3 linked regions of the Neurospora crassa OR74A genome follow. The protein of the gene in region 1 binds, or shares a complex with, the protein of each later gene. Links are inferred from orthologs where the notes say so. Each region holds a gene or a part of one and is shown in the gene's direction. Other genes may lie near its edges.

Region 1 (11,196 bases):
AGCTCCGGTTCTTCAGAGGCATCTGTCGGTTCACTGAGATATATGAGGTGCGAGGTACCGCCAATAAAACGAACAGAACCATTTTCGATCCGGAGCTCTCCCATCTTACGGGCCAAGTCCCTCTCACCCTCAACGGCCTGACTGGTAGCGTCATCTCTGCCAGGTTGGGTGGGTTCATCGCTGTCATCGTTGTCGTTGGTTGCTGTTGCGTTCTTCTCATCCCTGCGGATGGACTCGGCTACTTCGTCAAGGTCGTCACAGGTGCGAATCCTCCTCACAATGTCGATCACATCTTCCTCGGAAGCATTCAAAATGGCCTCTATTAGGATCTGCAGTGTGGCGTTCTGGGCTTTCATGCTATCGTTCTTCTCCCGGTAGACGCCTTTTCGGCGGTGATCTGAATTTGGGTCATAGATGCACTCGGTGCCGTAGACACTGGCACAGGCCGCGCAGCTCGGAAGGGCGCCGTCACACTTGGACTTCCTCCTCCGACAGGCGATGCAGGCCGTGCTCACACATCGTCGCTTTTGGTTGGTAGGGTCAGCGCCCCGCCTAGACTTCTTCTTGGAAGGTAACGAAGAGGCGATGTTGTCGGGGGCGAGTCCGGCTGAGCCTGGCGCATCTTGAGAGGACATCATTTGAACATCCGAACTGTTCATCTGCCGGGGAGTACCTTGGTGAGCTGCCAAGTACAAGCCGTGGTAATGGTTCTGGCAAGGACTGCAACTGTGACAGCAAGCAAGCCTCGACACGGAATTGTGACGCCTGATATCGTCTGGCCGATGGGTTCTGTACCAGGGTGCTGGGTTGCGGGGAATTGGCGGGGAGTCCCCGGGGCCTCAACTCTTAAGGGACCGGTGGGACTGAAGGCCGTGTGCGACTGAAGCAATGGAGGATCTCTTGAACGATTATCAAAGTCGCGGACGACGGGCGTTGTATCCCAACCAACAGTGATAACCTCGGCGAAGCTCCGTCGAGGTCGGCAACAGAACTCCACGGTCCTCACAGCGCGGGCGTGGGTCGAGACAGCCCAACAGAGGCAAGGGAGATCCGGGGTAGTCCGGGGTAGGGATTTCGGGAAGAGAAAAGTCACAACAGTGATGGCGATGGGGGCGGCCGGGTTGGTCAAGACGGTTCTTGAGTCAGAGTACACGGCCGGGTGAGAAGAGGACAAGAGGCCGAACAAGCGATTAGAGAACGCCGGCGCAAGCGGGACGTTCAACAAGCAGACGGACGACTCAGAAAAAAAGCAACAAAAAAAAAAGGCTATTGGATAAGCCCCTGAGATGTTGCGGATCTCCTGTTCTCTTGTTCACCGTTGGACGTGAGGTGAAGTGGTTGATGATCAATAAAATGGGAGCGAAGTTTGAACTAAACCCCCAAAGCCCCAACCAAGACTCGGGACGTCGGCTGGTACGTGCTGTTTCCTTGAGGTACCTTACCCAGTTGATGTGCTCGGGTACGCAGGCATATGTAACAGTTGTCGACTTACGCTTCGTAGCAGTACACGAAATAAGGAGACAAGGCTGCTGGGACTCTGTGAAACTGACCGTTTCCGGTCTGAGGGCCAAAATGACTTGGACCCCTATCGTGTCGAGTGACGATAATTGTCGATTCGTAGGTAGTGCGTGTGCAGCTTTGAACCTCGACCTAGTTGCAAGTTGTAAAGGCTCTGAATTGTTTCTACACACGCTATAATAGTGTTAGTAATCATGATCATTGCCCATGGCGAGGTTTTCTCGGCAATATCATTGGTCGAACGGAGGTTCCTTAAAGCATCAGAAGAGGATCTCGAGCACTGTGTCTGTTTCGTAGATACTGCATCGCATCTCATTCGTTGCGTCCAGCCCCCAAACTGCACTAGGTATACTAGAACTCCATCTTACACTACATCGTGTGCTCATCCCGTACTTGCAGCCAACACAACGCCCAGACATCGATACATAGTACCCTAAGACCCAAGTTGGTAAATGGCGACTTGCGGTCTGGAACGATATCATAGGCGTGCTCAGCGTGGAAGGCCCAGCATGAAAGAAAATGACTGTTCAGTAAACGAATGGCTGTTTCCCCAAAGCGCCTGAGACGGTCTCCTTGTCTACCCAAAGCATTGACTATGGCCGCGTCACCTTGGTATCTACACATAATCCAGTCGGCGTTTTTTTAGCTATCAGAGACCACAACTTCCAATCTTTGAGGGAACAACAGCATGAAGGTCTGACATGATAAAACATCTAGTAGTCCATTCACTCAACTTGTCTAGCAAAAGTGATACAATGCTTACTTCTAGAACCATCGCCTTTATACTGCGTATATATTCGCATGCAATAACCACAGCACGCTATCAAGGTCAATATCGGATGTTGTAGTACGAAATCCCTGCCCTTTTAAGTTTAAAACAAACACCACCCATATAACGCCGTCCGAATGTTTTACAGCCTCGAGAATTATTCATCAGGAACAAGTCATCAGTCCGTCCGGCCCAGAACTTGGAGCATACCAATGCCGGCCTTCTATTGCTGCTCGACAGCCTCAGCCTTAGTGTCGACCTTCTTCGCCGCTGGCTCAGCACTCTTGTCTCCGTCATCTTCACGGGCACGCTTGTTGTTGTTACTATACCACACGTTAGTAAATGTTCGAAACCCAGTTGTCGGATGGCTGTAACTTACTCGTTGTTGCGGTCACGGTTGTCGCGACCACCACGGCCGCCACGGCCACCGCGGCCACCCCTTCCACGACCACGGCCACCCTTGAAGCCGTTTCTCTGGTCGTTATCACGACGCGACTTCCAGTCACCCTTGTCACCACCGCTGCGGCCGCCACGTCCGCGGCCACGTTCGGCACCCTTGATGCTGCCCTCGAAGAAGATCTTTTTCTTGCTGGTGCCGGGCTCCATCTTGCCCTCCTTAATGAGCTGGGTCTTCTCGTCCAGGTAATCCTTCTTCTTCTTGATGACGAGCTCTTGATCCTGCCACTTGGGGGCGGGGTTCAGGGCAACAAAGGCGTTGGCTTCGTCTTCCGTCTTAAACTCAACGAAGACCGAGCCCTTGAATTTGTTCTCCTCGTTACGCCTCAGCTTGACCAGGTTGACCTGACCAAACTTGGTGAAGAAAGCCTCGATGTCGAACTGAGTGGATCCGGTCTCTTCGCCGAAACCCTTGACGTAAACGCTGGCAGCCAGACGGGCCTTTTGCGCATCAGAGGACGAAGTGTAGGCCTTCTTGCGCTTGACCGTCTCCTGGCCCTCCTCGCCAGACACATCCAAGAAGGCGCTCTCCTTCAACGCGGCGACGACGGCCGAGTAGGGCTGGAACATCTGCATGCGCTTGAAGCTGCAGATGGTCTTGAGCGAAACGGGCTTGTTCTCCACGCCTCCGGTCGTCTCCCACATGAACTTATCGGTAGGGAGGTTGCTGTCGCTGAAGTAGAACTCGACCTAAGACTATTTGTTAGACACGGGGACACGCAGCATGCCAACTGTTTTTGTAGTCTGATCGTACCTGGTTGCGGATCTTGACGGGATCGTCAGTGACGGGCTGGGTCGAAGGATCGTATTTCCTGTTGTTCTTGTAGTCGGCGCGGTCGATAGACTTGGTAGCCTCAGGCTTCTTCTCCTCCTCCTTGCTGGCATCCTCAGTCTTGGGAGCCTCCTCGGCGGCGGGGGCAGCCTCCGCGACGGGGGCCTCTACAGTCTCGGTTTGGACCTCGGTCTGAACATTCTCGACGGCAGGCGCAGCCTCAGTGTTGGCGGTGGTATCGCTCATGATGAAGGTCGGAGTGGCCTGTAGGTATTTGAAAGGGTAAAGTACAAGCGGCTGTAAAGGCAATTGACCGTCTAACGTGACGCGCGTGCACGGAAGAGAAGAATGGATGTAGATGGCCGGGAGAGAGATAATGGTGAACGGATGATGAAAATGCAGAAAGTGCACTGGAGACCGGGGACCAAGCAGGCAAAACGACGAAATTATTTAGTGGGTCCTTCAGGTGCACTCCAGTTTTGGGGCGGTAGGCGCAAAATGTTATTGCAGGGTGCAGTGGGGGAATGGTGTTGGGTTGGTGCAGGGTTGATTGTTGATCGACGCGACAGGAAAGTCGGCCATTCACCAGCAAATCCCAGGACGTGTGTGAAGTGTAGAGGTAGTCACGTAGTGTAAGTCAGGTAGGACCTCGATAATTCTGAACTGTAACACACACTTCAATTCCCTTGTCAAAGATCGAGAGTTTGATTCAGTCTTGTCCATCCATTACTGAGCTCCCTCCCTCCATCATCATACAGCAGCGTAACCCATCTGCCCTGACTTTTTCCAGGGTCTGTCGGCATTGGAGTCATATCGAGGACTGCACTTGTCAAAACCTCCCCCTCAGCGCAAAAAAATGGAAGCGGCGAAACCAAGCAAGCAACCAAATCAGCCCCACCCAGGTCCAAGGGAACCGCCTTTGGGTTTAGACTTTTTGTGCCGATTTCTACCGCCTGGCTCTGCTTCTAGCCCCACTCCACTTGCACCCGCAATCCGCCAAGAGGTTGCGGAGCTATACCGCATGCGCTCTAGCTCCCGCATCCTGTGCCTGCCAGTTCTCCACCATCCGGCCTGGAGTTGACGCGCACAGTGGCCCGAGCTTCTCACGTGAATGCGACCAATGGGCGAGCGCGTGCTCCAATTCGGGTCTGAAATAATTTTCGGAGGACGGCGCCCGATAAGAGGTGGAAGGGCCCCGGGAAGCTCCCCTCGTTGGCAGTGCTGCTAGGTGCCCCGGACCGCTCCGGACTCGACAATCTCCAAACAACCTGCGCCGAACCGGTCCGTCCACTTCGCCAAAAGCACGGGGCCTACAGTCCGATCCGATCCCCCGAAGCTCCTCCAAACACACCACACCCAACATGAAGATCCGGAGGTTGTTCAAGTACCACAGTTTGAAGAAAAAGGTATGTGCTATTCGGTGTTTTATGCCGCCGTCGCCGGGTTTGCCGTTGGTCATCGTCGCCGCCGCCGCATCATCACCCCATTCGCCCCATTACCTACTACCTGCCAGTCCCATTGCCACGACACTCAACACCCACCACACGCGATCATGCTGACGTATTTTGTGTGCGCTTCTTCTTCTTCCGAATAGCCCATCAGGCCGACATGGAACAAATATAACCTGTACAACCTGGCTACGGCCGGGAGAGAACCCAGAATCAGCGGCAAGACATTCTTCCAGCAGAAATGGCTCGCCAAGTCCTTGACACGAGCATACCACGGCGAGCACATCAAGGAACGCAAATGGGCGCGCATGTTTAGCCGTCGCCTACCGGCCGTCGTCAACATGGACCCGGCATACATGGCCAAATATAACGGCAGCGAACAAGCCGCCGGCCGCGGTTCCGGCCTCTCAGAGCCCCCAGCCTACGAGAAGACCGCCGACGAGAAACCTGCCAAGCAAGTCATCGCCAACCCGGGCAGGAAGGTTCCCACGCCGTACGAGCAAATGACCTTTGCGCCTCTCGAGAGACGCCTCGATATCGCCATATTCAGAGCCCTCTTTGCCAGCAGTGCGAGACAGGCCCGCCAGATGGTTGTGCACGGTGCCGTCACCGTCAACGGCAAGAAGGCATGTACACCATCACAACGTTCCAATACCGAATCCCACAATACAGTGCACCCATGCCAAAGCTGCTTGTTTCGGCGCTAACATTACCCGATCCTTTTGCAGATGAAACACCCCGGTTACCTCCTGAACCCTGGCGATCTCTTCCAAGTCGACGTCGAGCGCGTCCTCTATGCGACCGGTGCGCCCAAGGACAAGAAGCTCCTCGCCGCGGCTATGAAGGCCGCCAAGAAGGAGCTTGCGGAGGAAGCACAGGAAGCCGCCGAAGAGAAGGATGCGGAGGCCGAGGAGGCCGAGGAAGGAGAGGCACAAGAAGCAGCCTCCAAGTCCGGCAAGAAGGAGAAGCAAGTCGACACCTCCAAGTTCGACGAGGCCTGGAACCGCAAGTACGAACTCCTGCAGCTCCAACGTCTGCTGCAGTACGCCAAGCACATCGCCGACTCGCCGTCTCACCAGCTCTCCGCGACGCGCAAGCAAGCATTGCGCGCTTTGAAGCGCGACATCAAGGCCGCCATCAAGCAAGCGCAGCGGCGCGACGGGTCCGTTTCGCCAACCGGTAACGTGGTGGACGACCTGACGATGCTTCTCGAGCGCCTTGCGGTCTCCCCTTCCAAGGCCATTCAGCAGGAGGAGGCGGCCAAGGAGCTGAGCAAGAAGCTTGACAAGCAGTCGCGCCAGGTGCTCAAGAAGGTGATCGAGTACAACGACGAGCACGAGGACAACGAGATCGACCCGAGCAAGCCGTACATGACCCCCTGGAGGCCGCGCAACTACATGTCCGCTTTCGCGTTCATCCCCCGCTACCTTGAGGTCAACCAGAACATCTGCGCGGCCGTCTACCTCCGCCACCCCGTGGCGCGCCCGGGCGAGTCCGAAGTACCGTCGCCTTTCTCCCCCACTATCAACCAACTCGCGTTCAACTGGTACTTACGGAGAGGTTAAAGGAGGTCTAGTTAGGAGCGAGGGAATGAAAAGGGGAGATGGAGGGAGGAACGGCAGTCACTCTCTGCCGTCTCAGAGCGGTAGAATTCGCCAATGGACGATTAGAGTCGCGCGCACCCAGTTTTTTGCATGTCGCGGGTACGCTCTATTGTGCTTGTTGCATCTTCAAGGCAACCTCGGATGATGTGATACTCTGCACCTGCTGCGGCTTCAGTTGGACCATGCGTTGGAAATCGGGTTCGGTCTCGATGAGAAAGCTGCGAAGTGGGCGGCAAATCTCGCGATTCCCGGAGAAAAAGGAGACGGGGATGGATCATGCATGAGATGAGTTGACTTCATACGTATTTTGGGCACATTGCGCGTAACAGTTTGTTCGTTCCTCAATACCCGAACAATCTGTTGCAGACTCATTCAGTTCGCCCCCTTCGGCATCGATGTACGCTACATGTATCATTACCACTATTAACTAAATGGATATAAAGAGGGGCATAGACAAATTTCCTTCTTCTTTGCGTAAGAAAGTCATGAGACAGATGAGAACCACCGAGACACCTACGGTCTCCTCTCTGAAAGCTCAGTGCTTATATAGTAAAATTGCCAATCATAGCATTGTCGATCGAGAGGAGCAGTGCAAAGGTAAACACTTATCACTGAGGAAGACGGCAAAATTCGCCTTGAGAGCGCGAGAGAGAAAAAGGCTAAGAAATAACTATCTAGGAGAGGCTAAGTGTACGTTGAGTGTGTGTATGTTTTATGTGGTAAGCAAGAACCCTCCGTGGCTGGAGAGCGAAGCACCAGTTGAGAGAATCGGCCGGAAATGTTGGGTTGGGTATGACCGACCGTAAACCGTGAAAAGAAAAACCTCCTACAAGAATTCCCCGTGAAATAAAAACATCTGATCGCCGATGAAAGCAGTTAATAAAATACATGTGTTGTTGGGATATCTGGTCGTTCGTTGCTTTTCGTCCAAGTGAGATTTCCCGCCTGTTCCCTTACGCCCCCTTTGCAACTTGCATATGGTGCAACGTCGCGAGCACAATTCAAACCCGACTCCTTCTGATCCCTCTATGAGCTTCTCGGTTGTGAATTGCTCCTCGCTCCCGCCAGCCACAGCATCCTAACCGACTTGTCAGTCATGGTGGCAGCCGGAAACATGATGTTGCCGACAGTCGGTCAAGAAGACAAGGGCAAGCAGAGCCGCGAAAGGGAGTTGAGGGCCTGATTGCTGCTGCGCCGCAAACATCTGATGGGGAACAGCCAACGAATTATCTCTCTTTCTTCTCCCTCATATTTTCGGAACTCAACTCCCTAAAGCAGATAAGAGGATATATCTGTTGGAACCATGCTGCCATTGTGAAGTAAGAGATTCTCGAAAAAGCTCCTCCGGCCCAATTACATCTGCATTAGCTTTTCAAGAACAAAGTCGACCGGACCGCACCCCGTCCCAACGACGGAACACACCGGCTTTTGGAAATTTGACCGTTTACGGCAGCCAACAAATTTCTAACAGAAACCCATCCGGTTATGAAGGGATCTGCAAAGAGACTGTTGGCTTGCGAGGGGATCCTCCCGCAGGATTAGGAGGTTATGATTAGAAGATGAACAAATGGAAAACAGAGAATGAAGGAATGAAGCGGCAGGCCGAGGTGTATGCGGGATAACATGACAGTACAACAGTCGTGAGAGGCGGGTGAAGTTGTTGCCGCAAAATTATCGGAGAGAAAATCCCTTCCTCTTTGTCGGCTCCTTCTCAATTGGCCGCCCACTTTCGATTCGGGACTTCTTCTCCTCGAGCTCCAGTCGTTGGCGCTCCAGCTGCTCCTTCATCTCCCTATGACGAGCATACAGCTCCTCTTCGCTCTGCTTCAGCTTGGATTCCTTTTCAGCAACCTTTTGCTGGAAGACCATCTTCATTTCGGCTTCCATCTTCGCAAGCTTCTGTTCGTGGAGGGCGCGCTCTTCCTCCTGCTTGACGGCTGGGTTCACCTCCTTGAAGACGCTTGGATCTTGAGAGACGCCCATAGCGATCAACTTGTCCGTGCGGTAGTTCTCGTAAAGGACGTTGTTGGTGTGCTCCTTGAGCTCCTCCATGTGAGTACGGATGAGCATCTGGCGGAGCTTCACAAAGTCGCAATGCTCCTCATTGTCCACCTCGATCACACCCCAAGGGTAACGGCGACCGCGAACCTTACGGCCATCGGCGTTTGTGATCTCGTTGGTCGCACCGACAACAGCGAAGGGGACCTTGGACATGATCTCGTTGTTCTCCGCGATGGTCTCCTCATCGTCGAGTTCGTAGCGAGGGCCCTCAAAGATTTGCACCTTGTGGTACTTGATATCCGCAAGAATCTATGATAAACTGTTAGTATTGATCGCAGAACCAGTAGGGCCCGAAGACATACTCTAGCCTTGAAAGCAGCAATCTCGTCATCGGTGAGAGTATCCGACTTGGCGATGACGGGAATCAAGTTGACCTTGGTGTGGAGACGCTTCATGACCTCGATATCAAGAGGCTTGAGCGAGTGACCGGTGGGCTGGATGAAGAACACACAGGCATGGATCCTGTTGTCCACAATGTTCATGCGGTTCACCTTGTTTTCGGCATCCAAGTAAGCATCGAAGCGCTGTTCGATGTTGTCCACAATAGGACGCCAAGACTCGTCGTTGTTGACAAAGTCGCCGAAGCCAGGAGTGTCAACGACGGTCAAACGGAGGCGAACACCAGCCTCTTCAATATCGGCGCTGATAGACTGAATGGTGACAGTCTTGGGAACAATGTCGAGGCTAGGTCCCTTGCGCTCCTTGGGAGGGTAAAGCGAAGTGTTAAAGAGAGTGTTAACGAGGGTCGACTTTCCGAGTCCCGATTCACCTGCATGTCTAGAATTAGTAAATCTCCTTCAATGGACACAGAAAGCGTCACATACCAACAACCATGACATTGAAGTTGAAGCCCTTGCGGACGCTCTTGCGGTGCCATTGGTTGGGAAGGTTGGCGAAACCAACGTATCCCGTCAGCTTCCTTCGGACAATGTTTCGGTTGTCGCTCAAGGTAGAAGGGAGAGCTGCGGCCACGGTGTCAGAACCAGAAGCATCTTGATGTTGTTTCGTCTGAGATGGCAATGGCTGGGAAGTCGATGACTGAGGTACGGGAGCCGCCCTAACAGGAGGAGAGGTGGGAATACCGTTCGAAGCTGTCATAGAGCCAACGTTAGCATGATATCCATCATCTTGTGCCCAAAAGTATGTAATGTATGTCCAGTCAAGTGCGCGGAGCTCTCAACTACTAGAGGATAAAGGCCGCTTCGGTAATGGCTCCTGGGACACAGTCGGATCCGTAGCCTTGGGATATAGCTCGTCGTATGAGAATTGTTGGGTCATTGGCAACGTCGGGGCCGGGTCCTCGATTTCCAGCAAGCTCTTGTATCGGCGTAGAGCCTTCTTGATCATCTCGTTGTTCTCCCCAAGGGGCAAACTGCTGGTCCGTGTTCCGGAGACGGAAACGGGGGACACGGGACCATCCCGCGAGGCGCTTCCATCGATGGTTTCAGCGAGACTGGCGAAGCTCTTCTCAAACTGAACACTTTTGGCGCGGCCCCGGGTGGCATTGTGCATCATGGTAGCGAAATGCATTGCAGCGGAGTCGTTTGAACAAAGTATTTGGGTGGTAAGATGGTTCTCTTCCAAAAAAAAGACGGTTCCCAAGAAACGGTAGATGGCAAGCGGACAACGAATGTGATGATCGTATCAGAAGAACGAGCTGTGATGTTGGTGGGGGGAAGGGAGATGAAAAGTCGGCGAAGGGCGGCGTTGAGTCGGGTTTTGTTGAGCCCTTGGACCGTAGAGTAAGGTACGAGGAGGTCGGTGATCCGGCGATGCTTCCTGCGGCTTGGTCGAATGGGCAGGTTAAGTAGAGGACAGAAAGCAAGCGCTTACCCATTATAGCAGAAGGTACCGTGATGGTGATGTTTCGGTCGAGTCGAGAAGTGAACGGTTGATGAAAAAGGTAAAAAAATTCGGGATCGTAAGGAAGGCGCGAAGTCTGGAAGGTAAACGAATAGCGTCAGTCATTGAGATGGAAGCTGAATTGCACCCGGCATGTGTCTTCCTCCTTCTCCGTGCAGACGGCTACCGCCCACTCGTCAAGTGCCCTGCAGTGCGAGTCCGGTACTACCAGCACCGACACCACCTAAAACCCCAACGTGGATTGCGGTGGAGGCAAACGGGCTGGCTGGAGTGGCTGCTCGTATCGGCGCAGCCCAGCGGCAACTATGAGGGGGGCTTGTGACGACGAAGAGCACGAGATACCGGCAGGTTGGGGCAGTAGCAACAGAGCCATTCGGTATCTGTCGAGCCGGACGGGGAGGCTGTAGATACGTGCTCTGGGCTGGACCAGGAGCGAGCGTCTATACAGAGAGTATCGGAGTTCACGATCAAGCAGCATCAACTTACCGGAAGGAAGGCGAGCCGGTAGGGTAGATACCTCGATGGTTCGCGTATTGTCAAAGGTTGGGTAGTTGTCAATGGGCGCCGCCTAGTGCGGATTTCCAAGGCAATTGGCCGGTGAATCTGAAAGGTAACGCTGGATCGCGTATGAATATGAAAAGAGTGCCAAAGGTAAGGTACGAAATGAAGACGGGGACGTGATAACGGGGAGGAGAATGCTGAGTT
Region 2 (10,117 bases), on another chromosome or scaffold:
AGACGACGTCAAGGGGAAACAAAACATATCCAACAACGGACTTTCCACCACTACGCGAATAATACATATACACATACACATACACACACACACCCAAACACACATACACGAAAATGGACTTACCGCCCGTCAACCTCGCCGAGCTGCTTCGGCACCCCGATGATCTCGACAAGATCACCACCCTGAAGGCCGAGTTCATGCGGAAAAAGGCAGCTGTTGACTCCCAACTACGCAGTGGCCTGCGGGAGCAGCTCGAGACGACACAAGCCGGCATGAACGGCCTGGCTGACGGGCAAAGGACGGTGCAGCAAATCAAGGAGGAGATGATGAAAATCGACAAGATTTGTTCCGAGTCGCAAGACATGATCACCGACTTTGCTACCATCAACCTGGTGTCCCAAGCCCACCGCAACTTTGGCGCCGTCGAGACTATGCGCCGCAACCTCGAGACTTTCAGCGAGCGCCTGGACGCTATCGACAGGATGTTAAACGAGGACGACGAGGACCCCGAAAACATGCCCAACCTACTGGCTATTCATTACGAGTTGACGCAGCTCCGTAATATCCGAGACGATGCCATCGAGCAAATACAGAGGGGTGACGATCCAGGCCTGCAGTCTACATTAGAGGATTACTTCTCCCGCCTGGATAAATACATTGAGTGGTTTGATGTGAATATCACCCTCGTCGCCATGAGTTTGATCAACCTGGTTATTGCCGACAACAACAGTCTGGTCGTACGTTTCGCACTGATAATAGAAGCTGAGGAAAAGAGCGATCAGAGGGTTTTGGCCTTGCAAGAAGCGCTGAAGGATCACAAGGAAATGGCCACACGCTTCCAGAGCATAACCGACGGCGCCAAGACGGTCAGGGGCTATAAGGACAAGTTTTTGAAGGCTATCAAGACCTTTGCCGAGGACCAGTTCAAAGAGAGCAAGGAGAAGTTCTTGGGTGATCCGGACATGCTCGACAAGTCCTTGAAATGGTACTTCAACGACTTGAACGCCGTCAAGATCGGCATGACGCCGCTTATGCCCAAGAAGTGGAAGATATTCAAGACATGGGCTACTATCTACCACGGCTTGATGCATGACTATCTCATCGGGCTCATTGACGACCCGGAGACCAGCTCGGCACATACTTTAGCCATTATCAGCTGGCCTGAGGCTTACTATCGCAAGATGACCAAGTTGGGAATGAAGCAGGACGAACTAACACCACATGTGATCGACAACCGCGAGGCAGAACTGGTGCGCGACTTCCGCGCCCTCATCATCAAGTTCCTCGACGAATGGATTGACCGTATCTACAAGCAAGAGTGCAAGGACTTTGTCGACCGCAACGTCGAGGGTGGCAACCTCGACCAGGACGAGTATGGATACTTCCGCACCAAGAACCTGGTCGATCTGTGGCGCATGCTCCGCGAACAGGTCGATGCCGCGGGCAACTCAAAGCGTGCCGATGTTGTGGAAGGTGTCATCGACACCATGTTCCAGCGCTTACGCACCCGCCAGCAGTCCTGGCAGAAGATGCTCGAGGACGAAGCCGCGCGGTACGAGGTGCAACCCCCACAAGGCCAACCAGAGCTGGACGGCTTCCAGCCACTGCAGGACTGGCTCGTGGCGACAGCCAACGACCAAATCGCCTGCATCGATGACAACGAGGACGAAGGCCGGATGGCGTACCTCTCCGACTTCCGGCGCAAATTCAGCACGCTCGTGTCGCCGCAGTACATGGACCGGGCCGAGACGGAGATCACGGCTCTGCGCGACGGCTACGTCGACCTGAGCACGTGGTGCATGACCAAATTTGCCCAACTGGTGTTCGCAGTTGACTTCCGCACCGTCATGCCCGACTTCTTCACCCCCCGCTGGTACACGACCAACGCCATGGCGCGCATGATCGCCACCTTCGAGGAGTACGTGTCCGACTACAAGATGGTGCTGCACCACTCGCTCGTCGACATCTTCATCGAGATCTTTGCCGAGGAGCTGCTCATTCGCTACCTGTCATCGGTACGCAACAAGGGCGCCAAGTTCCGCAGGCAAGATAACTTCCAAGACAAGATCTTTGACGACCTGTCGACTGCCTTTGACTTCTTCAACAACTTGCCGAACCCCGATGTGGGCGATGCCATCAAAGAGACGTGGCGCGTGTCGGAGCCGTTCTTACAGTTGTTGACGGTCGATAAAGAGGCGGTGCCGGACGCGTTTGCAGAGTTCAAGAGCCAGTATTGGGATTTGCAGATCAGCTGGGTCGAGGCAGTGTTAAGGTCCAGAGACGATTTTGAGAGAAGTATGTTGAATGCTGTCAAGGCTAGGGCCGCCCAAATGGACGTTGTCAGAGGGCCGGAAACTATCATGAGCAAGGTCAAATAAGGGGACACGCAATAGTTATCCTGGGTTGAAAATGGATAGGTTTAATGATGTGAGATACTTGGGATTGGACTGTAGTAGGTACGGAAGTCGGGAAGGGAGTTGGAAGTTCTATGCATATAATGATACCAGCTTTTGTAAGCTACAGCGAAGACATTTTCAAGAGTGAATAAGAGAACCGAAGGCCAGTCTAATGGTGGGTGGTTGTCCCTCACTTGAAATGCTGCCTTTAACTTCCATCATTCATGCAACCACACAAATATTCTTCGGAGTTCCACATAAATATTCTTCAGAGTCCAAACTCCGGCTCGTTAAGCGTGCCCTTCTGGTTCGCAAACATGCAAATGCCCATAGATATTACGCGACTGGTCCGCGTCTATGGTAAGCGAAGAAAACAGAAAAAGAAGAAAGCAATATACAAGAAACATTTGACGTCCAACCATCACCGACGCCATTATAAAAAGAGATTAAAAAAAAAAAGAAATAAGAACACAAGCAACAACAACTCTCTGTAAATATGTAAAATCTGTGCCTAAGCATCATTAGCTCATGGTAGTGTCCGTGACGTTCTGTGTCCCGTTGCCAGACCTCTTTGTCTGTCTCTGTGTCTGTCTCAATATTCTGTCGTGATGTGTTTGTACTGTATTACCATTTCCCTCTTCTTGATCCGTTGATGAGCAGCGAAGACAAAAAGTCCGCCATGAATAACTCGTCCTTGTCACTGAGCTCCCAGCGGGCCCTGAGTTGGTCGTAGACTTCGACGACTCTGTCGCCGTTTGTGCATCGCATGAATGCGCGCAGGACCCAAATGGCCAGCCAGGTCTTGATCTCTATGCCTGGCCGGTCGACACCCCATTCTTTCTTTTGTTGGTACTCCTCCTCTTCGAAGGGGAGTTCAGCTTCATCGTCGTAAATATCAGGAAGGTGTTCCTCCTGGATATGATCTTGCTGGACCTGAACTGGCTCATGAAATTGGGTTTCTTGAGCTTGATCATCAGTAAACGCTGCCTCGTCAACTGGTGGAGGGGCCGAGTCATGAATAAGTGTGCGTCCAGCATCTATGGCTTCTAGCAGGGCCGAATAGATTGATTCTAACCGCCTCGCGCTCCATGCTGAAGTTGCGTAACCTCCATGACGGTCAAAAGCTCTGAACAAAACCTTGAAGATGGAGCCGTGAACAGGGATATCAAACAGCTTCATATCGTCGATGTACTTGGCCACGCGGGAGAGATCTCCGCACCGAACGCCGTAATATTTGACCAGAATGCTATACGTCCGAAGGTTCGGATGCATTGGTACCATCTCTTGAAAGCTGTGTTGCAACTCGGGAGCTTTCTTTGCAACCCGGGCCATCATCTTCAGCGCCTGGGTGATGGCGCGATCGCTGGCATAGCTCCGGGTTGGGAATGACACCTCCGACCACTTCGCGATAGAAGCCACCATGCGAGCATAAATACGCTCGGCCGCTGCTTCCTCGCCCGATCGCAACAGTCCAGATATGACGGCGTTGAGGACAACCGTGTCAATCATCTCGCCGGCCTCAACCATCTCCCGAAACGCGGCGCGCAGTCCACCAGTCTCCCTCTTGAGCCCAAAGAAATGGATCAAGCTTACGTGGTGATAGCGGTTGAAATAGTGCCCACGACTGACCATTTCTTGGTAAATCATTTCAGCGAGAGTGAAGTTGCCAGCCTTCGAGGCCACATCAAACAAAATGTTGAAGGTTACCTCGGTCGCCTTGATGCCAGCGTCGACTTCCATCTCGCGCCACAGTCTCATGGCAGACTGCGCCTGAGTTTCGGTGACAGTGCCAACATATCGGCTTGCAAAAGAGATGGCGCAATTCCACTCCCCTGCCGTCAAGGGCATGCTGCAGTTCCTCACATCCGCTATGACGGCGAAGTACCGCAGCATGGACTTGGAGTTTCTCCGCTGAGGCTGCCCTAATGCTTTTAGGAGCTGATGTCGCAATCGACCATTGATGTAGGGCATGCGCGGTTCCGGCAGTTGCTGGTAGAGGTCGTAGATCGTGTCAAGGTCAACCTTGTGTGGAGTGCGCAGCCGCACGAGTACAGCAAACCTGAGATCGCTCAGTGTGTGTTGGCCAAATTCGTCCAGTCCAACCACTTCGTCCGGGCCTGGATACTCGTAGTCATCTTCATTTTGTACAAAGGTGAACCGGGGCCTATCAGCGGGCGCATAATTATGCATGTAAGGATCGCGAATGAACTTGAGGTAGTCTTCGACCGTTCCATCTAGATCATGATAGGGATCTACCAGTTCAAGCAGCTCTTCTTTGGTGAGATGACCGAGCTTCGCACTGTGGGATTCGGGCAGCTCTTGTGATTGTGGGTTTGCGCCCGAGTGGGACTCGGTCGATAGATCGTCATGTAGCGCGGATGGGGCCGAGAAGACAGAGTCGGCGGGCTTCTGATCGGCACTGGGTTCGGGGGCAGCTGCGGCAACGGGGTCAGGGACCGGGGCTGCCGCCGCCGCCGCCGCCGCCGTGTGGCTCCGCTTTTGGGGAGCAGAGACCGAATAGCGGAAGAAGTTGGAGTCGAGTGCTCGTCTGCTGTTCGTGCCGGACAGACTGGTGGGAGTTACCCGCAGGGATGGGGTGGTCAGTAGCGGGCAACCGGTGGAGCCGCCTATGGGTCTCCTCGCGACCCCATCGACAAGGCCACCACTTTGTGAGCTCCAGCTGCCGTGGAAGCACCGTCGTTGTTGTACTGGGCCGAGGCCTGCTGTCGCAACCTGTCTTCTTCGTCCGCTGCCTTGGTCACCGAGCTGGATGGATGCTGTGGTTTGCGACACGGAACTGGTGGCAGCAATTGCGGTTGCGGAGGCGGCAATGGCAGACCAATTCCACGACGGACGATGCAAGAAGATGGTGCCGCATATCGACCCTTCAAATCGGCTGGAGACTTTCATGAGCTGCCGCCGTCCAACATGATGGCCTGCCCATTCAGCCAACCTTTTCTTGCCTGTTCCCCGCGAGTGTCGGCCGCAATTCGATGAAGAAGAGCTCAGAGAAGACGCAATCACAAGCTGCTGGCTGCTGCGCACTCGATTGGCACTCGATGCAATCGCGGTTACTGGCGAATTGGATCGTACTCAGGTCGATGTGGTCAGGGCGTCAGATTCGTGGAGGGCGGGGAAGTATGGGGAGAATGGGGAGAACTCGAGTCATGAAGTGAGGAGGGATGTGGCAGGAAACTGGGGTCGGGTGAGCGACGCGATGATTGAGAAAAAGTTGGGGTAGTGTAGTGGTGTACACTACAATACATGGACGAGGCACAGCTCCAGGTACCTTGCCGTGAGCACACCCCACCCCTGCCTCTACGAAAGAGGGGAAGCTGGAATAGGGTCCAGTCTCGGCCGGGCTCAAGACCCCCACTTCTGTTATCGATAAGCACCTAGCTAGGTACTTCCCTTCCCTTTGGTCGCTTAATGGCGGGGCGGGGAACTATTTTTTTTTTGCCGGCACGTCCTTCCAATTGCTCGCCCGCTCGCGGCAGGCAGGACAGCAGGTCGCGCGGGTTACCGGCAACAACTGAAGGTCGTGTCGGATCGTGCCTGTCTCCAAAAGGCACAGCTCCACTTTGGACAAAGCTAAGCAAATAGCGATAACGATAGGTTTGGCGGGTGAGGGAATCCATTGTGCCTACGCAGCGCAGCGCAGTGTATTATTATTACCTTACACAGGTATACACACCCCGTAACCTCGTAGCCTTGCCTTTGCCTTGGGAGGGTACCTGAGGAACGAAAGGACCGCCGAATCCGCCAATGGTCCTCTGATCTCAGCCAACACCACCGCTGCCGTCGATTATCACCAGTAATTCCCTCCACAACACCCAAACGCCGCCAGCGACGACCGGACAAGATGGGCAAGGGGCGCATCTTCCAGGCCGCAAAGGTCTACCAGAGGGCCAGCGAGGCTGCTGCCACCAACATCGTCTCTGGCCTGCCACCACGGAACCCACCACTGTGGCTCAAGGCCATCGAGTCCATCCCTCCCGCTGAGATCAACACCAGACCGTATCCGATCCAGCACTCTCCGCCGAACCCGCGAGCGCGCAAGCCACGCAACCTCTTTAGGCCCACCAAGATCGTCTATCCCGAAGATGAGTTGCGCCGCGACTTCTACCGCGACCACCCTTGGGAGTTGGCCAGGCCTAGGATGATTATCGAGTTGGATGGCAAGGACGCCCGTTTCCTTGACTGGTCCAAGGGCCTCAGGCAACGCGGCATCCCCTTGTCCGGCGAGAGGTACGTTGTTGGATGAGCGCATTGCACATGGCGCAAAAGCCCGGCGGACAGGCATGGAAATTGGATGCTAACCCGAATCGCAAACGATAGTGTCGTTCAACGTCAGCTCTGGCTTATGGAGAATCAAGGCATGACCAAGCAGGAAGCCTACGACAAGGCGCGCCACGAGTTCTACAAGTTGAGGCAGTTGGAGCAGATGGAGCGCAGGATAGCCGTCGAGGAGGCCCGCATGGTTGGTGGCTACTTTGGCAAGGACCTTCTGACGGTCGGCATGGAGCTCGAGAACAAGACGTATGAGAGTTGGAAGAAGTGGGCTACGACCGAGATCGCCCGCCAGGAATCTGCCAGGGCTTCCATGTACACCAATGTCGTCGACAACTCTGCGCTCGAGGAATCTGAGGAGGACGAGCTGCTCGCGCAGAATTAAGGCAACGAATTGGAGTAAAAGGGGAGGGACAGAGTGGTATAGCGTGGCTGATACCCATCCGTGTCGGGGAAAGACGATGCCGGCCCACTCGTGCACAAGTGTAAGAATATCACGTCTCTTTGTACATATAGAGAGGGCAAGAGACTTTGTAGAAGTACATGTGATTCAGGAGCCTGGTCGCCTATCTTCGAAGAAACCCGGCAGACACCGGCCCGATATACTGACTGCCCTTGAATATTTTCGCCAGACTCTCGTGCTGCACACCGACAACATCGGCAATGCCCGTTTTTAGAAACAACTTCCCCGTCAGACTCATCGTCTTGGACCTGGCCCAGGTCTCGATGTACACCACCTTGGCCCTGTTTTCGGGTACGAGGTAGAATATCTTGAGCAAGTGGGCCACCAAACACACAATAAAGCCGTTGGCAGGCCCATTTGTAACAATCACATGCGGGTATCTGAATCCCTTTCCATGATCCTTTGTTGACCGTGGGTTGGGCATCCGTGTGAGGGCATTGGCGGCATGAAAGGCGGATATGAGGCAGGTAAAGGGTGCCGTATAGAGCGGTTGATGGACCTTGCGCGCACGGCGGATTAAGAAGATATCAGAGGTGCCTGCTCGATCATCTTCTCCGGGATAGGCGTCCTTGATAGTCGCTTCCAGAAGGCGGGCCTTGCCGAGAGAGGAAGTGTCTCCGATGGAGATGATGTACCGCCGGTGGATGTTTGCCTGGCCGCGAAATGACTGCTTGATGGTCTCAATCATCTCAGCAGTGTGTCCACCAGAGCCAAGTATATATGTGAAGTAAATAGCAGGAAGAGAGGTGGTGTTGGGAACTTGTGTGCCAGCGGCATTGGGTTGGGGCGTATTGCTGGGGACGAGCCAGCTGCCACCTGGCTTTTGACGCCGGCGTATCATTTCAAAGTGCCGGTAGACAATAAAGGTACCAAGCACTATCCCGACGGTGATGACGAGGGAGATGAGCCATAGCCATGATAGACCAGAGAGGAGAAGCCCGGCTGCGGTGGAGGATGCTGCACCCGCAACAAAGGTGGCTGCTGTCAAGTTGATGCCGCTCACAGTCTCAACATGTAACTGAGAGTAGCTCTCAGCTCTGGTGTCGGGCTTTAGCTCTTGATCATTGCGCGATTCTTCCTTGCCCGCCAGCACGGACGCTGAAGTAGTAGGGGCCATTCTAGAGAGCCCCAAAGGTCTCTTCAAAATTCTATTGGTATAATTAGTTTCACATTCTTTGAATATGGAGTCTGGGTACTTGATGGTGTCACCTCGTCGAATCTTGATAACGTGTTTTGTTTGGAGGTTTCCTGAAGTCACGCCTTCCAAAATAAAGGGGCTAATAAACAATGACAAAAGGGGCACATCCAATTGGGGTAAGAAGGAGAGGCTTGTTTGGTGCCGTCTGGAGGTGAACATGTAGACTCGCTCATATAAGCCCCATGCCGACTTGACACATGTGTCTCCAGGTGAATGGGTGTTTTAGATCTGGCAAGATTTAAAGCGTGATATATGACATCAAGATCAAAGGCTTTTAAGTCGTAGAGGCATGTGGAAAAAATGACACTGAGCAAAAGGCGATGGAGGTGTGGTTTCTGTAGAGGTAGCTACATGACGGGAATGAGCCAGTGCATGTCGCTTTACGGGGCACGACAATGAATGACGGGAAGCTTGGGCCAAATTGAAACCCCTGAAAGAGAGACCTGGAGAACACCCGACACGCACCCCTGGGCCCTGATGATCTGCCGAATAGCGGAAGGGAATGACGACGGTGGCCCCACTGGTGACTGCGATTTGGGCGCATTTGGCGGCCCAGGCCGCTAAAAAGTTGACCGACCGCCTGGCAGAAAGCGGGAAGTTGGGAACCGCATGGATGCTTGTTGTCAACGAAACCTCAAGAGAGAGAGCTCCTCCTCACTCAGTAACCCCAAAGTCCCATGTCGCTTCAGTTCCATCTTCACATTCCATCCGTCTTGAATGGATACCACCTTTCACCACTTAGACGACCTCCAATTGAGCAATCACCTATAAACAGAGGAACCATTCCACGACAAATTGAGTTCTCGGTCTCCAATACCTGCGATTAGCTTCAGCGGTTGGGGACATATTTGAAGGAGGCTTTCTGCCCCGTGTCGCAGAGAAAGGGAAGACATTGCGCGCCGCTTTCTGAAAACCGAACACATTCTGCAATGGGCATCGCGTGAACGCGCAACCACTCGAAGCAATGCCCAGACTGAACAGGACTCGATATCTAACATGCTTCTATTGTGGCCGCAAGACCTCGACCCCATGGAACAGCTCTATCCGCAACTTCGAATGCCGGAACTGCGACGCAACAAACTACCTTGATGGTGTAGGTCTCCCTGCTGTCTTGAATCTATCCAGTTGACCTGGCTGGCGCATATTGTACCTATTTACTGACACCTTCTCTTTGCTCCGCTAGAACGGCGACATCACCGATCCTCCTGTAGCCACCGAGTACGAAGCAAGTCCTGCCAAGTTTGCCACGACGCGAGCAACTTCGCCCACCGTCGGTTCCTCGAGCGCCAGCGTTTTTTGCAACAAATGTTTGGCCAACCAGGACAAGCTACGAGCTGTTCTGGCCCAGTATCTCCCGGATCCCGATGATTCTGAATACGAAGAGCGATGTAGGAACATCTACAAGTTCCGACGTTTGCAAGAGCGCCTCTATCCTCAAATGTGCGCCGAATGCGAACCGCGCGTCCAGAAGAAACTAGGCGAAGCAGCTTATACGGCAAAAACCGATGTCTTACTCCGAATGATTGAGAGAAGCAACAAGCAGCGACAGCAAGTTACAGGATGGAGTTGGCTGAACGTCTTCGACTCTTTGGGGAGGTGGTTACGGACTGCTAGCTTGGTGCTTCAACTCCTTTGGCACCTCTCCATAATGCTCATGTTGTTCAAGGCGGCCATCCTGACGCGGTTGGGTGAAACGCCGAACCCGTGGGCTCTGAGAGCTGTGGATACATGCTTTTGGTTTTTTAACCTTCTGCCGTCAACCGACCGGCT
Region 3 (10,292 bases), on another chromosome or scaffold:
CTTTGCCCGGTCGGACAACTTCCACTTTCACCACCAGCCAACCACCCTCGGGTCCAAGCTCAATTCACAATGTCGCCGAGTCAATTCAAGAAAGCAATGGCGCTTGGAACTACTTTCCCGGCAGCTCCTCGGGAGGAGGGTTCGGCGAGCCAGCAGACAATGCTATCACAGGTCCGTTTGGTGATAGTGGGGGACCTGGTCAGTCTGTCAGTGGTTCAGTCGGTGGTTCCAATCCCAACCGAAGCATTGGACATGTCAGGTCCGGAAGCAACGTGGAGGAGAATATCCTGGTGACGCTGATGCCGGAGAAGGAGGGTGTGTTCATGTTCCAGCACCACAACTACGAGGTCTCGAGCATAAGACGTGGCAGCAAGGTCGTCCGACGATACAGCGACTTTGTGTGGTTATTGGATTGCTTGCACAAGCGGTATCCGTTTAGGGTGCTGCCGCTGTTGCCGCCCAAGCGGGTTGCTTGTAAGTTAGAGACCATTCCGAGGGACATGGGCTACGCTAACAGAGACAGTCAATGGCAACCATTTGTCCAACGATGGAGCCTTTATCGAGAAGCGTCGCCGCGGTCTGGCTAGGTTCCTCAACGCTCTTGTGCGCCACCCGGTTCTGGGTCAGGAGCAGCTGGTGATTATGTTCTTGACAGTGCCTACGGTATGTCTACCTCACACTTTGTGGCTTCCCCGCAGCTGCTAATGATGTGCTCTCAGGAACTGTCGGTCTGGCGCAAGCAAGCAACAATCTCTGTTCAGGACGAGTTTACCGGCCGCACACTACCGCCCGGTCTCGAGGACTCGCTTCCCCCAACTTTGGAGGAGCTCTTTGCGCGCACCCGAGTCGGCGTCCGCCGCAGCGCTGAGCTCTATATCAGCACCTGCACCATCATGGACCGTCTGATCAAGCGCTCAGAAGGCGTAGCAGCCGACCACGCCAGGATGGCTGTCTCCCTGATCTCACTCACCGAGACCAGTGCCGATACCTACGCCACCGACCACAATGACGTGCCACTTCTCAACGACGGGCTGCAAGCCATGGGCCGACACTTGCGTACTGCACAGACTTTGATGGAGGATGAAGCAAAGGCGTGGGAAGAGGGTGTTTTGGAGGACTTGAAGAGGCAGCGAGATGCGCTAGTCAGTCTACGTGATATGTTTGACAGGAGAGATCGTCTCGACAAGGACAACATCCCCTTCCTGCAACGACGCATAGAGACAAATGAAGCGAAGCTGCAAGCGCTTAATGCAAAGCCAGAAGGGATGGTTAAGCCCGGGGAGAAAGAGAGGGTTGTAGAGGCGATCATTAAGGTATGTCTCTCTTTTACGTTGATCAATGCCACTCTACTAACACCGGAAGCAGGACAAGGAATCCATTGTCACACAACACAACCGCTCAGTATTTGTCAAGGAATGCATAAGAGACGAGCTTCGATTTTTCCAGAACACGCAGTATAACGTGTCGAGACTGACGCAGGATTGGGCGCAGGAGCGGGTTAAGTACTCGGAGATGCTGGCGGACAACTGGCGAAGGTTGCTAGATGATCTGGAAGGCATGCCGCTTGGGGATTAGGTGAACTCTGAGAGGCATGGGCTTGGTCGGACCATCCGGGGTGGTGGTGACGGCACTGTTCGTGGTCCAAGCAGAGGCAGCGACATGGGAAGGGGCAATACGATGAAAGTCAACAGGTCAAGCTATCGGCAATGGAGCTTCAACAGACCTGCAGGAATCGAAAACAACAGAAGTGGCACCGTCAACAACAGAGATGCCAGTCAAACAGGAAGGATTGTTTCTGCTGGTGGGGTGGTCCACTGGGCTTGACGGATATTGATGAGATTGATGACGAATTATGGACAAGGGACAGAAGGTTACAGCTTCATGACGGGGATGGCAGGTTTGGGGATACCAGTTACCAGGCATGTGCAAAGATTGAGGGGGGTACGGTATGATGGGATGAAGTTTGGTTTGGGGTTCTTCATGTGTGACTTTGTTATGTTACTCATGTTTATGGCGTTTTCATATGATTTGCTTTGTGTCAAGTTGAGCTGTATGTGTATGGTCTGTCTGTAGGGGCTTTCTGTAGGGAGTTGAAGAGAGGCATGGACAATACCAGAGATGATGACGCGGCTTATACGACCCATGTTAGTCTACTCGTTGGCTGTGATTCACTGCAGCTTCCACTCTGCCTAGAGGTACTGTACTTTGCAGAAGCTGAAGCCGATTCCGGGACATTGGTCGGCCGTCTCAATCCAGTGGTTCGTGCCAAGACCTGGGGAACACCACTGCCGCGGCGGCACTCAGACACACGAGCTGCCCTGGTGGTAGTATACCTCTACCTCTATGGTCGCAGTGACTTCCCCCGCCATGACGTTTTCTCTTCAGCCTCGCCTAGGTAGCTGGACTCATAGCGCTGAATGGCCGTGGTGGCAGTGGGTTTTCCCTGGTACGAACCTCCGCCGCGGGCCCCTCCGTCCCGCTTTCCAAGCTGTGATGCCCGTTTAGTAGTGGAGTGCCCGCCCTAAAGTCCCGTCGCTCCCCTCCGCCTTCCCGATCTTTACCTATTTTGACAAGACGCAAGAAGGGACGAATCTACCTAGGCAACGAACCTGCAAACCGAAATCCACGGCCACGGCACCTTCACAGCTTTGCTACCGAATTCGAGCTCAACCCACCCCTCGGCTCGTATCTGCGCGCAATTACAAACACGCGACCCGTCCAACAGCGAGCGCCTCAAGCTCCATCCGTCTGCCACATCACCAGACCAACAGCCGATCCCGCCTTATCAGCCTCTGCTGCCCTGCCCCGCGACGACTTTGGGCTCATAAACCGATCGAGATCAACTCACGCGTGCCCGAACAAGCGCCAGCACCAAGCTCTCTCTTTACCTTCGCAAGGGCGACATTTTGTCTCTGTCAGACAACCATCTCGTCTCTTTTCCGCTCAGCGTTCGAAAGACGGAACGAACGACGACACCCCCAACCACACAACGAACGTTGAGACAGCCAGAATGAGTAGCTCTAGGCTGCCCTCAACGGCCACCCAGAGGCAAAAGGTTGCCCAGTTTGTCGCAGTGACCAATGCGAGCAAGGAGAATGCGCAACGGGTGAGTTCAACCAAAGTCCAAGATCCCTTGCAAGGTCCAATGTCACAAGAAGGGATTAAAAGAGACCTCGGAGAGTGTCGTCCCGCTGGGACGCCATATGTCCATCAGTCCGACCGTGCGAGTGCGACTGCGAACAAGAGTGCAAGAAGCTAATATTTGGACTTGGATTACAGTACCTCCGAAATGCAAACTACAGTGTCGAACTTGCTGCGAATATGTAGGTCCCTTCTTCCGTCCTCGTCTCCTCTTGCAACTACCGACTTTACCCCATGTGCATTCGCAATGTCGCACGGCGCACCGCATACCGTGTGTGTATCCCTTCGAAATTATTAGTTGGAATATGAGGGAGGTTTTGTTTTGGGGCCGGGTCGAAGCCGGCCACGACGGTCGTTCGGGTCGGAACTCCCTACAGCTCCCTACAGCTACAAGCTGTTTACGACCAATGAATACCACAAGGGATCAACGTCCCGACACAATGTCTTATTAAAAGGGTCATGTTGTGGTCTTTTTTTCGGGTCATCGTTTTTTGTTTTTGTCAACCGTCAGCATTGGTTTCCAGCCCCCGGGTTCTTATTTTCTGAATTTGTTGGAAAACATCAACAGAAGGGAGATGAGGGAGGCGCCGAGAATGCAACCACGCAACCAATACGCATTTCCATGCACACCGTGGTTCTCCAGTGGAGCCCCCAGCTCAACCTTAATGTCATTCCCAAACGAATGAATGCGACGCCCCTTTCCCATCAAAGGCATTTATCACCACTTTTGCACCTCAAGATGCCACCACTTGGCTCTTCAGACACGAAAATCATGTTTTCGAAACTGTTTGGTTCTTGTTTCCGAAAGAGGAATGGACGCAAACCCGCAAAGTCGTCGGCTACTCCAAGCGAAGATGCGACTGAGACTGAGGGGAGCCACTCGCGATCACAATCTCACTCCCGATATCCCCAAACGGCGGACAACGTGCCTGGGTCTCTTCAGTTGCAGGATCTTCCGTCTACAAAAACTGTCCTACCGACTGGCAATGGGGAGTTGGGTCCACGCATAGATCCCAAGGGAATATCCACTTCATCCTTGGAAAATGCGCCGGAATTAGAGTCCGTGATGGCTTAAGATGCCTTGCTTATTATTTTCAAAATTTATCAGGTTGGAAACGGAAGACTAACCTTACTTCGACCACAGGTATATGAATGATCGGGAAAGGAAGCGTGGCCCAGATGATGCGTTGAATCAGTTGTTCGACCGTCTGGTCGGCGGTATGTCTCTTTGCCCCTGCCTCTCATTCCCCTCGAACTAACATCGATACAGACGAGGACCGAGCAGCAGCAGGAGCCGGAAAACCCGTCGAGGCCATCGGCGCCGAAGCCGCCCAAGCCTACATCTCCTCCATGGGCGCCAATATCGAAAACGTTGAAGCTTTTGTGGTCCTTGAGATCGTCCGCGCCGACTCCATCGGCCAAATCACTCGCCAGGGTTTCGTCGAGGGGTGGTCCTCCATCTACCTCGACCACCGCATTCCCGCAGACCCGGCCCACCACAGAAACTACGTCCGGATGTGCATCCAAAACCTGCCTCAAAATCCGGCCTACTTCAAAAAAGTCTACCAGTTCGCTTTTGGCCTGGGTAAGGAACCTGCCCAAAAGGCACTGGAGAAGGACGTTGCCTTGGTATTCTGGGATTTGTTTTTGGGCACCGAGTCTTCAGATACAGGACTAGGACCGAGGCCGTGGAAGAGCAAGAACGTGGATTGGCTGGGTGCGTGGAAGCGGTTTTTGGCGGAGAAGTGGACGAGGAGCGTCAACAAGGATATGTGGAACCAGACGCTGGCGTTTGCGGAGAAGACGATGGTGGATGAGACGCTCGGGTTCTGGAACGAAGACCAGGCGTGGCCGGGCGTGATTGACGATTTTGTGCTTTGGTGCAGGGAGCAGGGGATTGCCAAGGCGCCTGCACCGGGGGCAGCAGGAGGGGAGGGGATGGATGTTGAGGATTATTAGAAAGTTGGTCATGAGCATCCGGGGAAGGAGTGTAAAGGATGAAGTCAAGTGGGTGGATGTGGTTATACGGGGGGGAGCATATGAGGATGTTGGTGAGGACTCTTTCGCCTTGGCGCAGGGAGGATAAGAGGGGCAAAGAAGAGAAGCACTGATGGTCATGCTGTTGCCAGTTGATGCTGGGAGGGCTTTCGGGGCTCTCATGGCGGTTATCATCTTGTTGAGGTTGCTGCCATGGTGGTCAAGCGGCGCATCGAAAGATCAGAGGTTGGTTCGCAAAGAGCAAAGAATACATTTACACAGCGCATTTCCAGATACACAATACCGATAAGAGCATGCATTTACAACATGAAGGCCATTCAAAGGTGTATGAAGCGGTTGGGAATGTTTTTAGAACAAGTCTGATTTCTCATTGCTTCTAGACCACATTATAACCCTTTAGGAACTTTTAAAACAGCTTTTCTGGAGGACCATTACACCCAACAGATGTCTCTACAATCACCGAGGTGACAGCTGAAGAGTCGAGTAAACAACCTCTCTCCCACCCACCCTTGATGAAGTGTGTACACCCCTATCCGGAAGGCGGTCAACGCGGCAGAATCTCGACCTTCTTCCTGGACCCCACAAAAATTTCCAAGCAAGCGGCGGCACCCGGACGCCCACTCGCAACCAACCCGCTGCGGCACTGCGGCAATGCGGCACTGCTGACGGCAACACCCACCACACCCTACAGTACTTGCTGAGCCCGGTCACAACAGCAGCCACAGCGGTACCTACTGTGGGGCTCCGAACTTCTTATCGACGTCCAAGGTTCACTAGGTAGTACTATACGCGCTTTCGGCCGGTCGCAATCGCATCGCATCGCATCGCGAAACTAAACTTCTTTTTGCGTTCGTTTCTTTCCCCGAACCGATTGCCCGCCGCCCAGCCCAAACTACCAGACAGGATGTTGTATGAGACTATTGGTATTGTGAGTTACCCTAGGGTTGAACTACAGGAGCAGGTTAAGAGATTGGGGGTACAGAAAAGGAAAGGAAATGGAAAGGGAATGGGAGAGGAGAGAGATGGAAAGAGACAGTCTTGCTAATGATTGCACTTGTGAACAGGTCCGCCCGGGCAACATCGCCGAGGTGAAGGAGTATGTTTTTTTCCCCTTCTCTTTGTTTCCACTCGATAGTCCGTCCGACTTGAAGAAAACTCCCTCCGTCTTTCCTTTCCCTTACGAACCCGACCCGACCCGAACCGACCGATCTTTCTCTTGTCTTCTCTTCTACCACATCATCCACGACCCTACCTACCTATCACCCCGACTCCGACTCCGAACCCAACCCAACCATCCCATCCTCTACCAACCTTCCACACCTCGTCGTACTAAACAAGAACCAATAAAAAAAAAACAGACTCGTCCTAACAGCCGGCAAACTCATCCTCAACCAAGGCGGCGTCATCCGCGACATCAAGAACTGGGGCACGTTCCTGCTGCCCCGTCCCATCTCCACCAACCAGCAGCGCCATAACCGGGGCCACTACTTTGTCATGCGGTACGACGCCAGCATCGCGACGCACGAAGAAGTCCGACGCACCATGAAGGCCGACCCGCGCGTGATCCGCACGGCGAACGTGAAGTTGGGCGATGGCAAGCTGGAGACGCTGTCGAGGTTTGGGGCGATTCCTTGGAGGAGTTTAGAGGAGGCGTAAATCTGTATCTTCTGGACGGAGAGCAAAAGAGGGGGCGGGTGGGGGGGGAATGTGTACGATGGATGGACAGATGGATGGGAAATAATGAATCGAGTCGAATCGAATCGACATATATCCATCCCATCTCCTTACCGGCTTGTGTATACCAAAAGGGCCGTGATGAAGCAGACCGGACAACATATATGGACGGATGGATGGCAGGCATCTTTATACCTTCTTACCTCCGTCGACAGCAACAATAAAAACGACCGAAACACCCACCAATAACGATCTGGGCCTTCGATGAGCAATGGTACATCGTGAACGCACGACACCTGGATAGCAACATGGGATACATACATACAGACAGGCAGCATACGTATCCGAAATCTTCATTGCGAATGGGTTGCGGAACCATCCATACCCACTCAGGTTGAAGGAAGGAGGAACCTGACTCCTTTTCGACCCCGTTAATGGATCACCGTCGTCGATCAAGAAGTTCTGGCGTGAATTAGGGTGCACTCGAAACGGTCAGAGTATCATATCAGTCAAGCCAGCTAGAGAACAAACTCCCGGACCCGTCTTTGTTCATGTACGATAACGCATGTGGAATGTGATCCGCTAAAGAATACGACGCCATATTCAGATTCCTTAAAGCAAGGTAGTTCATCGGTCCCGGCTCAACAAGGATGGCTTGGGATTAAGAAACGTCAGACACGATCATATTAAAGTTACGGGTGATCTTTGAAAACTTGACGTGAGGGCTCTTCGCTCAAACTTCATCCTCGTTTCAGTTACCACACTTGTATGCTACACTACCTCCCCTTATCAAATGTAGTTGATCGATCCTCTCGAGTTCCCAGTTAAACACTATGATATCAGTCTCGCCAACACACGGCAACACACGGCAACAGAGGCATGTTCATATCACCAAGTCAACACACATCCAGAACCGGGGCTCACTAAAGTGAGATTTAATGTAAACCATCTCTATCAATTACCTTCCACTACTTTCACTCGGCTACCTAAATAATGAATCACTCCAGTCTTCCCTCTCTCTCTCTCTCTCTCTCTCTCTCTCTTCAAAACGAAAATTTTTCAAATCCAGTCTTTCCACCCACCATACCAGCAACGCCCGGAACAAGCAAGCAGTAAACTGACCACCACCACCACCACCACCATCACCAACCCCCTTGACGCTGCGTTTGTATCCTACCACTTTATCCCGGCGTTTAGACACAAAAGACCCGGTAGTGAATGCAAGGAAGAAAAAAAAGGAAACACAAAAAAACGAACAATAAGAAAAACATAAACTCCCAAACTCCATACCAACCAGCACAACCGCCTGCAGAAGAAAACCAGGAAAGTCAGGAAATGCAGTAAAACCACGATCGGCCGATCTATGGATCGAGGCCACGCAAACCAAGAGTGCCGTGAAGCAAAACATCTGGAGCAGAAGAATGAGAAAAAACAAGAAAAGCATATCCCTCCGTGGAACCTTTTTGACGCGCTTCACAACTTCCCAACTGACAATTTCTCACCAATCGCCACCACCCACCGTGTTCCTCGCGCTCATGGGCAAGCAACCATGGGTAGTTCTTTTTCCCCGAAGGATCTCAAAACCCTATTCATCCTCATGCGGCAAAACAACCGAGTCCATATCATCCCAAGCTTGTTCCACGTACGCCCTATACAGACAGCAACACCTCAAACGTCAGTAACTCATCGCATCATAAATCAGAAATCAGAAATCAGAAAATACGTACGCAGTACTCCTCACCACCCGCTTCCCCTTCTTCACCAAAAAGCTCAAAAACCTCCTCTTGGTTCTCTCCCGCTTAAACCAAGCCAACACATCCCCCCTCGACTCCTGCGCCTCCTGCGCCTCCTCCTCCTCCTCCTCATCCCCATGATGACGATGATGATGATGATGTGCAGCATCCTTCTTCACACTAATCAAAATCTTCAAACACCCACTCCCCTCAGGCGCATACACCACCTCCTCGATTTCGTCCAACCTCAGATGGAAATCAATCGGCTCCTTGTAGACGCCCCACGTCACGCGACGGCCCTTGACATCTTTAAGGACTTGGTGCTCAAAGCAGTTTTCCTCTCCGCGACCCGTCAAGTCCTCGCCGGCGCCCAGCCAATGCCAGTATTGTGTAATACCGGTGTTGGTGGTCATTTCCCGGTGACGAACTTGTAATAGCCGCCAGTCGACTTCTGTGATCTTGTCGCCCGAGTAGGAGTCGTCCGAGGTGTAGCCTTCGTAGTAGAGATCTTCGGGGGGAGCTTGGATTTTGAGGGTCACGGAGGGGGAGGGCTGGTGGTGTTTGGCTGCGGGAGGCTTAGAAATCGCATGGGTTGGATGACCCATTTCTTCTGAAGTAGAGGGTGAGGAATGGGAAGATGGGGCTCTTGTGTCGGCGGCTTGGTGGTGGTCTACGACACGAAGTTGCTCTTCTGACTGGTTGGCAGGGTCATCTGTCGAGTGAGCAGCAGCCGCCTTCCTCTTCGTCCCCTTGGCCGCCTTCTTGGGAGCTGGCCCATCCTCTCCCTTATCAGCCATCGTAGGCTTGTAGCCCCTCGGCCGACCAATATTGCCAAACCCGCTCTCGCTGCGAAGTAGCCGAAGTTTGGGGTCCGAGTAGAGGTTCTCCACCGCCTTTCCGAGGTTGAACTTATCGCCCAGCTCTTCGTGGATTTCGTGTAATCGGTGTCTAAGCCATTGTGAAGGTGAAACATCCAGCTGCTTGAACCTCTTGAGTTCCTCCAGCACCTGCACCATGCGGTACAAGTTATCATAACCTATGTAGGCTTTGTTGATGAGGTGCTTTGCCATGAGCTGATAAGGGTGGAACTCTCCCTTTGCCAGAAAGTCCAAAACCAATTTGCCCCTGTTTTGTTGACGACCAGCCAGATATTTTGTCGACGCCGCGCCGCCCTCGTTTTTCAACTTTTCGTACTTTTCCGACCACTTGGCGAGTTGGGCTTGGATCGGCTCCTCGAGCGCGACCCATTCGGGATCCCAATAAGGATGGTCGGGGCCGATCCTGACGAGGGGAACGCCGCGCATGCAAGGGGGGTCTGTAAAAACAGTCCCGTCGTCACGGAGGGCGAGGTTTGCCAGGTTGATGGGAGGAAGATCTTCTGCGTGATCGCTGTCGTTGGGCGCTGGACTGCCTTCCAGGGGCGTTGGGGCGATTGATTCGGGCTGCACACTGGACTTGCGCGTGCTCGGAAGGGACTTGCGCCCCGAGGGCAGTTTGGATCGTGCTGGCTGCTCATCTCCGTTGCTAACCACCTTCGCGGTCTTCTGGCTCGCCGATGTGCCATTCACAGCTTTAAAGCCACTGGTAACAACGGGAGCTTCTTGAGCCACCTCTCCGTTCCCGGCCTTTGGGCTGGCTTCGGCCATCTCGTGGTCTGCATGCTTAGAAGCACCACTGCATCCCTGGCGATTCCACTCGCAGTTACCGCACCGGGGGAAGCCCTCGGCGTCCAGGATGATACACTGC

The links. The genes of interacting proteins can lie anywhere in the genome.
Region 2: NCU08296 (region 1) and NCU03343 share a complex: the UniProt entries of both Saccharomyces cerevisiae proteins name them as parts of the mitochondrial small ribosomal subunit. The link is inferred for Neurospora crassa OR74A from reciprocal best matches to the Saccharomyces cerevisiae genes NAM9 and RSM25.
Region 3: NCU08296 (region 1) and NCU05717 share a complex: the UniProt entries of both Saccharomyces cerevisiae proteins name them as parts of the mitochondrial small ribosomal subunit. The link is inferred for Neurospora crassa OR74A from reciprocal best matches to the Saccharomyces cerevisiae genes NAM9 and MRP17.

What each region holds. Positions count from the first base shown.
Region 1 is NC_026504.1:2,498,153-2,509,348, reverse strand, and holds NCU08296 (mito ribosomal protein S4), read left to right. Parts: upstream 1-4,687; 5' UTR 4,688-4,876; coding exon 4,877-4,921; intron 4,922-5,109; coding exon 5,110-5,589; intron 5,590-5,691; coding exon 5,692-6,528; 3' UTR 6,529-7,072; downstream 7,073-11,196. Other genes in the region: nitrogen assimilation transcription factor nit-4, read right to left, coding at 1-659; NCU08295 (RNA-binding La domain-containing protein), read right to left, coding at 2,511-2,610, 2,667-3,433, 3,498-3,761; NCU08297 (cell division control protein 3), read right to left, coding at 8,239-8,877, 8,931-9,397, 9,453-9,719, 10,462-10,465. UniProt on the Saccharomyces cerevisiae protein: Component of the mitochondrial ribosome (mitoribosome), a dedicated translation machinery responsible for the synthesis of mitochondrial genome-encoded proteins, including at least some of the essential transmembrane subunits of the mitochondrial respiratory chain.
Region 2 is NC_026502.1:1,032,218-1,042,334, reverse strand, and holds NCU03343 (mitochondrial 37S ribosomal protein RSM25), read left to right. Parts: upstream 1-5,918; 5' UTR 5,919-6,258; coding exon 6,259-6,644; intron 6,645-6,734; coding exon 6,735-7,071; 3' UTR 7,072-7,252; downstream 7,253-10,117. Other genes in the region: NCU03341 (exocyst complex component Sec6), read left to right, coding at 114-2,378; NCU03342 (hypothetical protein), read right to left, coding at 3,021-5,306; NCU03344 (hypothetical protein), read right to left, coding at 7,253-8,266; NCU03345 (hypothetical protein), read left to right, coding at 9,312-9,440, 9,531-10,117. UniProt on the Saccharomyces cerevisiae protein: Component of the mitochondrial ribosome (mitoribosome), a dedicated translation machinery responsible for the synthesis of mitochondrial genome-encoded proteins, including at least some of the essential transmembrane subunits of the mitochondrial respiratory chain.
Region 3 is NC_026503.1:609,928-620,219, forward strand, and holds NCU05717 (mitochondrial 37S ribosomal protein YmS16), read left to right. Parts: upstream 1-5,781; 5' UTR 5,782-6,043; coding exon 6,044-6,067; intron 6,068-6,203; coding exon 6,204-6,235; intron 6,236-6,497; coding exon 6,498-6,795; 3' UTR 6,796-7,494; downstream 7,495-10,292. Other genes in the region: NCU05715 (sorting nexin mvp-1), read left to right, coding at 1-474, 524-663, 720-1,313, 1,366-1,575; NCU05716 (hypothetical protein), read left to right, coding at 3,011-3,106, 3,280-3,323, 4,286-4,359, 4,412-5,100; NCU05718 (hypothetical protein), read right to left, coding at 8,399-8,462, 8,541-10,292. UniProt on the Saccharomyces cerevisiae protein: Component of the mitochondrial ribosome (mitoribosome), a dedicated translation machinery responsible for the synthesis of mitochondrial genome-encoded proteins, including at least some of the essential transmembrane subunits of the mitochondrial respiratory chain.